Oryzias latipes: one gene and its partner. The protein of the gene in region 1 interacts with the protein of each later gene in a biochemical or structural test. Links are inferred from orthologs where the notes say so. Each region holds a gene or a part of one and is shown on either strand. Other genes may lie near its edges. The genes, in order: E3 ubiquitin-protein ligase Itchy and endophilin-A1.

The links.
Region 2: the proteins of E3 ubiquitin-protein ligase Itchy (region 1) and endophilin-A1 form a complex in vitro, tested with the Homo sapiens proteins (2 studies listed by BioGRID, with this or other methods). The link is inferred for Oryzias latipes from reciprocal best matches to the Homo sapiens genes ITCH and SH3GL2.

The regions. Positions count from the first base shown.
Region 1 is NC_019865.2:2,019,906-2,023,722, reverse strand, and holds part of E3 ubiquitin-protein ligase Itchy, read left to right. Parts: coding exon 1-117; intron 118-2,053; coding exon 2,054-2,123; intron 2,124-2,562; coding exon 2,563-2,647; intron 2,648-2,722; coding exon 2,723-2,851; intron 2,852-3,817. UniProt on the Homo sapiens protein: Acts as an Acts as an E3 ubiquitin-protein ligase which accepts ubiquitin from an E2 ubiquitin-conjugating enzyme in the form of a thioester and then directly transfers the ubiquitin to targeted substrates.
Region 2 is NC_019876.2:2,702,178-2,706,611, forward strand, and holds the start of endophilin-A1, read left to right. Parts: upstream 1-1,576; 5' UTR 1,577-1,854; coding exon 1,855-1,899; intron 1,900-4,434. UniProt on the Homo sapiens protein: Implicated in synaptic vesicle endocytosis. May recruit other proteins to membranes with high curvature. Required for BDNF-dependent dendrite outgrowth.

The DNA of each region.
Region 1 (3,817 bases):
ACGACCACGTGGCAGCGTCCCACAATGGAGACGGTGCGAAATTACGAGCAGTGGCAGCACCAGCGCAGCCAGCTGCAGGGCGCCATGCAGCAGTTCAACCAAAGGTTCATCTACGGGGTAAGACGCCGTGTGTCAGCGGGTCAAAGGAAAGCCACTGACTGTGGTGTGCGTACACGTTATTTTTTATAAACAGTATGCAGGATATTTTGTCTTAAAAGGAGAATAACATATTTTGTGTAGACAATGGGATGGTGCATAAACCTTTTTTCTTATATGAACTCGACAAGTGGAAAAAAAAGTCTTTGTCCAATGCCAAAAACTAAATTCTGTCTGGACATTTGACACGCGATAAACCCCGGTTCTTGAACACGTTCTCATGGTGTTCACACTGGACAAGCAGGGAGGGGCTACTTCTTTTTCTACTGTTTACTGCAATCTACATTTGGAATTTACCCTTTATTTTACCAGGAAGTCTCATTGAGATCAATTCTCTTTTTCGAGGGAAACCTGGAAGAGCCTTGGTGCGAAATGTTAAAGCGGGGAAAATCTGGCAAATCTTACTCTTTAGGCTTTTTCTTACACTCTTTCCAGTATACACACTATTACCAACAGCATTGGCTCACCCATCCAGATGATCACAATCAGGTCCTGAGACTTGACCTGGCCACAGGTGTATGAAATTAATCAGGCATGCAGGCTGTTTTTACAAACGTTTTTGAAAGAATGGGCCGCTCTCAGGAGCTCAGTGAATTCCAGCGTGGAACTGTCATAGGACGCCACCTGTGCAACAAATCTGATACTGATGTTTCTTGGCTCCTAAATATTCCAGTCAACTGTCAGCTCTAACAGAACAACATGGAAGAGTTTGGGAACAACAGCAACTCAGCCACCAAGTGGTCGACCTCGTAAACTGATGGAGAGGGGTCAGCGGATGCTGAAGCGCGTAGTGCAAAGAGGTCGCTGACCTTCTGCACAGCCAATTTGTACAGAGCTTCAAAATTCATGTGACCTTCAGATTAGTCCAAGTACAGTATGCAGAGAGCTTCATGGAATGGGTTTCCACGGCCGAGCGGCTGCAACCGAGCCACATAATTTGGTGGAGGAGGAATCATGGTGTGGGGGTTGTTGTTCAGGACTTGTGCTTGTCCCGTTAGTTCCAGTGAAAGGACCTCTGAATGCTTCAGGATACCAAAACATTTTGGACAGCTCCATGCTCCCAAGCTTAAGGGAACAGTTTGAAGCGGCCCCTTCCTCTTCCAACATGACTGTGCTCCAGTGCACAAAGCAAGGTCCATGAAGACATGGATGACAGAGTCTACTGTGGATGAACTGGACTGGCCTGCACAGAGTCCTGACCTGAACCCGACAGAACACCTCTGTCAGTCAGAGTCAACTATTATTGTAATATTGGGCTACATAAAAAAAATAAGTTGAATTCAATTGATGGCTGCAAAAGGTGGATCCACATCATATTGAACTCTATGGGTTAAGAATGGGATGGTTTCAGTTCATATTTGAGTCAAGGCAGGTAGGTGAGCCAATGCTTTTGGTTACATAGTGTATGAAAGACCCTGTTTTATTTATTTCCAGCCGGGCACAAACCGTAATTACGATCTCCTTCATGATCAGTTTTCAAACGGTTGGCACTTTCGTGAATTACAAGGGGTGCCATCCATTCATCACTACCGTACGACAGAATCACCTGTATGTCATAAGTGCGTGCAATGTCCATTAGCCTAACAAGTGCTTCACAATTCACAATGGTACGTTCCATTTTCATGACGTTCCTTGAGGTGGCCGTACGAGCCTTAAGGGAACCGCTTCCCTTAAGACTGCTCCTCTCTAGGACCCTCCATGGACCGGACAATCCAAAAACCTGCAGCAGCCATACGGGTCAATCCCCCATACGTGTGGCTAAAAGCTTTAATCATTTAGTGTTGCAATTTATTTTTGACTCAAAGTCGATCAAGACCAAATTGTTCTGGTTCTCTTTGGGTTCTAATCCGTGATGTTTGTTATGGAACTTGATTATTGATAATAATTCTCTGTGCAGGTACAAGATCCGGCAGCAGCCGCTCAAAATAAGGAGTTTGATCCTCTTGGACCTCTACCAGCTGGATGGGGTGAGACTTTTTCGAGTTTCAAAACCAGGACAATTATATGGAGCAGTTTTTATGTTACTCTTTGCTACAAGTTTGGTTCCTCTTGAATTTGTTTAGTGTAAACTAGTTTCGGTTTGTTTTATAGCAGCATCCTAATTGAACCTTAATAAACCATATACTCTGTATTTAAATGTTTTTTTGGGATTTTTCCTTTACATTAAAGTCAAATGAATGCAGTTTGATGTAGTTTAAATATCCTGCCAGCTAATGAAATTGCATCTACAGTGGATTTCCTGCAGTTTTGAAAAAATGAAAATCGAAATACTATTGATTTGACTCTTAGCAAGCAAAAACGCAATGTGGGTTTTTTTTTTTTAAACCGCTAATGACTTTAAACCTCATCCTGCAAACCCATCAACCTGTCAACCATAGTTAAGTCACTGACTGGCTTTCCTTTCAGAGAAGAGAACAGACGCCAATGGCAGAGTCTATTTTTTGCATCATCCTACCCGTTCTACTCAGTGGGAAGACCCTCGAACACAGGGGTAGGCATGTGCTCACAGATTCCCCCGCCGCCTCCTGAAAAGGACGAAAGTTGATGTTCTGATGTCACTTCTCAGGTTGTTGAATGAAAAGCCTCTTCCTGAAGGATGGGAGATGAGGTTCACTGTTGATGGCATTCCTTACTTTGTGGACCACAACAGGAGAAGCACCACCTACATCGACCCTCGCACTGGAAAATCCTCCCTGTACGTCTGACCGCTTTTAAAGACGTAGATGTTCTTTTAAAGCACAGTTAAGCTCAGTCTTTGGTACCAACGTACACAGAAATTCCAAACCTACAAATGCATGTTTGTTTGGGGAACATTGTACGCAAATCATCTTGACGCATTCCCCGTTTAATCTGAGAGTTCGGCAAATCACGGGCAGAGTAAAAGAAAAATGAACTCATCCTAAAACTGGATTAAAATGTCATTTCTTAACCGTAGCTCCTCCTCCTCTCTCATTTTTGATGTACCATCAGTAGCAGCGTTTTCAGATCATCAATCTGCAGGCAATGTCACAATCCTGAGTAGTAATCTTATTGAAATGCATTTGCACAAAACATGAAGAAGAGGATTTTTTTTTTTTAACCTAAAGAGGTTTGGGTTTCCAGCTAATGTGGCGTTCACTCAAATGGACGTGTTTTATCTGCGGGCGTGGTTCACCAGACCGCAGAAGTCATGCACCAGTTTCCTGCAGTGAAAAAGAAAACCTGTTTGTTTCTGATATGCGATCATCTGAACCACGAGGCCGCGGCTTTTCCAGCTGATAAAACCTAGACGCGTTCGCCTCTTTGCAGACGTGATCGCGTCTTAAAAACCTGAAATCCGTTCCTGCATGAATGACTTCCAGATTATAGCTGAAATTCAAGATTACTCGATTTTTCATAAAATTCTTACATCTTTTATGATATCCACGTTTTTAATAATAATAATAATACATTTTATTTAAAAGCGCCTTTCAAAACACCCAAGGTCACCGTACAAAGTTAGAGGTAAAAAACAATAAAATCACAACATGTTAAAAACAATAAATAAATTGGATTCATCAGTTGACAGAAGATGAGAAATTGTGTTCCGGAAATGCGAGCTTAAACAGATCGGTTTTGAGTCTGGATTTTTATAGCTTTATATATTTCTGTTGCATCTTACAAGGGTAAATTCCAAAAATCT
Region 2 (4,434 bases), on another chromosome or scaffold:
GACCACGAGCTTCAGGTTAAATCATTGAGGGCTTCAATAGCTACTAGTGGGAATGTTACTATATAAATTACACAAAAATTCAAATTTGAATCAGACATTGAACATTAATCAGTACAATTTTATTAAAACAACAAATTGTAATATTTTTGTACTATTATTATTATTATATATAATGGGGTTAATGTAGCTTTGGGGGGGGGGGGGTAATAATCTATTTTATGACAAAGAAATATCAAAAATGATATCAGACAGACTAAAGCACATAGTTTGGTTGAAATTCTTGCTTACTGAACCGGTAAATTAGCACATTTTTAAAAATCAAAACATATGCAAATATATGGAGGATGTAGAAATACTGATATTAGGCTTTACAAAAAATAAAAAATAAAAAAAAAGAAATCAATGGGGAATGTCCATGTGAAAAAGTAATTGAATGTCCGAGCTGCCCTTAAACGCGCCATCGGACCCTCCAATGAGCTGTCCGTGGTGCTGAAACCGCGTCGGTGTCTGTTCAGTTACAGTGTGTTCAGTTACAGTTCAGACGCCTGCAGAAACGCTCGATCACGTGACCCCACCTGTGATCTTATTATTATTCTGTAGAATTAACTCTTTCACATAGGAGGGTCGCGCGTGCGAGGACGGCTCGTGGACGGTGGAGGGCGGCGCGTTCCTGTCACAGCAGACCTGCGCTCTCGCCCTTCTGAAGATCGTCTATCTGTGAAGACAGACGTCTGACTGACGAGAAATTTGTCTTTTCCTGCATAGTTATCAAAAATCTCTGTAGATGTTAGTTATATAATGTGGATTAAACCAAACTGTGACATTTTTGGTAAAATTGTTTTACATTTTTTTTTTTATCCACAGAAACTCTTGAAGAGTTCTAATCAAAAGAAATAAAAACATTTTTTGTTCACAAAACAGAATATTATTCAAATTCAAAAAAGCTAAAATAAACTTTGTTAAACGTTTTTAATTAATTTATTGGTCTTAATTTCAAAACAACAAAAAAATCTTTTTTTAACAATCTTTAAAAGCTGTTGGAAGTCTTTCCCAGTAAACTATTTTTTTTTTACCATTTTTTAAATTTATTTATGTAATTTTGTTGTAGTTGTTGTTGTTTTTCAAATGTTCTTATTCCTAAACAGATGTTTGATTGGTGTGTACCTTTTTACATTTTTCGGATATAACAAAAAATTGCACCACACGTTTGCAGTGGATCACACGCCACCTTCGTAGCTGTATTTATTTATAATGAGAATATCAGTTTTGATGTCCTTTCTTTTGCTGTTATTTATGAACATTGTTTTTCCTGCCCCATGGTGGGATAAATAAAGTCATTTAATCTAATCTAATCTAAACATTTGCCAATGGGACATTGTTAAACGGATTTCTTTCCTTTTTTTGTTTTATTTCTTTATAATTTATGTCAAGTTCAGACATTACACTACCTAAAACAAGTCTTTGAAATAAATAAAAAATGAACAAGCATAATCCTATTTATTCATTGGAAAACTCAAAATTTTATTGCATATTTAAAAAATAAACAGCTGGACAAACGGGACGTGGATCATTTCGGTTTATTCGTTGGAGTGATCCATCTCGCTCATCAACGATCTCCGCCCTCCGCCTCGCTCGTGCGCCTGAAAATAGATCCAGCAGCTGGGTTTGGTCCGGCCGTCCTCCGCTCCGCTCCCACCGGGTCCCACCGAGCGCTAACGGACACTTATCGACGCGCATCACCGGAGGATTTACGGACGAGTTCCGCCGGGTCGAACCGGTCCACTTCCAGACTCCGTTCTCCGTGAAATTTTTCCGCCGTCAGTTCTTTCTTTTTTCTTCCTCCGCAGCCGAAAGATGTCTGTCGCGGGGCTGAAAAAGCAGTTCCACAAAGCCACCCAGGTGAGCGCTTTAGCCCGTTCTGACCCGGTTCAGCCTTTGTTTCCATGTTTAAAATCTAAAAACAAACATTTCTGTTGTTCTGAACCTTTAAATGAATCTAAACGGAAGTTTAAAACACAACATTTCTGTTTCAAATCATGTTTTATTCCCACAAATCTCGCATTTTATGCTGAAAACAGATTTAATCCACGCAGGTGGATCCTCCTGTCACGTTTGGGTCCAAACTGATCCGGTCCGGTTCACAGTTTCGGTTCTTTACAGGATGTTCTCGTGATGTTTGGAGTGGGGAACCGGGCAGCAGAACCGGGCAAACCCCGGCGCTGAGGCTCGGTTATAATATTATGTAAGAATCCGTAAAGTCCGGAGCTGATTGGCTGCTGCTGAACGCAACAGGGAATTCCCTCCATCCTCCTCCATCTTCTCCCCCCATGCATGCCTTCATCCTGGCTCCTCATCCAAACTTCACTACACCCCCTCTTCCTCACCTCCACCTCAGTTTTCTAACTTCTCCTCTTTCATCTGTTCTTCCTCCCATCATCCTCTCATTCATCCTACAGCTTTCTGTTCTTGTCATTCCTCCAACATCTCTCCATCTGCATCCCTCCTTCACGTCCTCCTCCATCTTTCCGTTTGTCCATTCATTCTTTGTATCATCTTGTTTTTTTCATTGACTCTCTCCTCCACCGTCCTCCCTCTCCAGTCCTTCCCTCCATCTGTCCATCCGTTCGGCCCGGAGCCCCCCCTCTCTGCTCTGCAGGCTGGATGGATGGGTGGAGGTTTACTCTAGCGGATGAGGAAGAAGAGAGGTTGATGAAGATGAGGTTGGGAGCTGCCTGTTGATGAAGGTGAAGATTCCTCCGCTGTGTCACATGACTCTGTTGCCAGAGATCAAAGTGGAGGCGTGTCCTAGTGAGTGGACACTTCAAAGGGCGGTTAGCCCCCCCAGAGTACCTAAAGCTGCAGTTCATCTAATGACCACTAGGGTTGGTTTCCAATGGGAGCCGTTCCCACTGACTCCCATGTTAAAAGTCCAACTTCACAGAAAAACTGAACAGGTAGAACAGGGTGTTCATGTTGGGACCTTTTCGTTTGTGGGGGTTTTTATGAAAGCTCAAACATCTCGTGGGGGTGGGGGGGGGTTGTTTGTACTGACTGGCAGGAGGGTGGAGTTAACTAAACTCCTGCTGTCCTTTGTCCCGCCCCATCACCCAGTGCTGTAACGTTGGGAGGAGAAAGTTCCGGTTAATTTGTTCGTCCCAATTCAGGCTTGATTCTTGCCGTTCGGGACAATCCGTGAGACGTCAGCAATGATCCGTCCACTTGGTTTCTATGGTAACAGTCCCACAGTTTGTGTCGGATGTAGGGACCAGTTTGGGCAAATCTTGAAACGGCAGTGTTGATGGAGATCTTAACGCTGACGTTGGAATCCAGTTTGAGTTCAAGAAGTTCATGAATTCCAGAGGGAAACAAGCTTCACCTCCATTCTCCAACCGCTCCAACAGTGATGCAACATTGGAGATGATCCAGATTGGTGAAGACGCCGTTTATTTCAGGCTGTCCTGCACTTCTGGGACTTTCACAACTTCTCTGGTTTCATTAAAAAGCAGAAAAGCACATCAGAGAAAGATGAGGGTTAGAAACGAATCCGTCTCCCTCAAGCCTGCCGTCTGTCCCGCTGTCATCTGGACAAACTGCTGTTCATTTGTCACCTGGAAATAGAGGATAGTTATTGATCCCTGAGGGGGAAGTGGGTCACGACGGCAGGAAATGAGAGAAATAAAGAGCAGAGACGTCCTGAAAGCTCAGACAGAACCTGAGGGAGACACGGACTGGAATCCGTCCGTCCGTCTAAATGTTTGTTTCACTGAGTTCTACCAGAAAACATTAAAGGTTCTGCTGTGGCATGATGGGAAATATCAAGATCCTACACCGCTCGGTGAACCATAGAGAGAACGTGTTCATGCATGTGTTTTTCTACGGCAGACAGGTCGTAGTGAACACGTGGGATTCAGTATTCTGTCTGACGGTTTACTATCTATCAATACATGATGGAAGGACCTTCAGTTCTCTAGACGTGTAGACGGGACATGTTTGTCATGTTTCAGGCGTATCCCTGCTGGTTGTTTAGCAGTTTCCAGTTTTGTTTCCGTTGAGTCTGAACGAGTTTTGTTATCAACATCACAGACACATTGGTTCTCGGTGTGGTACGGTACTTTGCAGTTCTGTAGTACCTAGCGGTTCTGTAGCACACTAGAGTCCCCAACGGTGTCAAACTACAGCTTTTAGCGGTCATGTTGGGTGGCTTCAGCCATACCCAGTTGCATCATGGGTATTGGTGAGTATGGCCTTAGATTGATCAACAACAGTTGGGCACAAAACCTTGTTGGTGAACATTAGGAGCAGCTGAATACGACTCGGGTCGGTTCAATAAAGTTCTTTAACTGCATCAGAAGAAGCAGAACTGATGTGATGTGGATCGGACGGGTTTTCTGGGTCTGACGGCGTCTCTGAGCAGAACCGTGTGGTTTCCTGAAC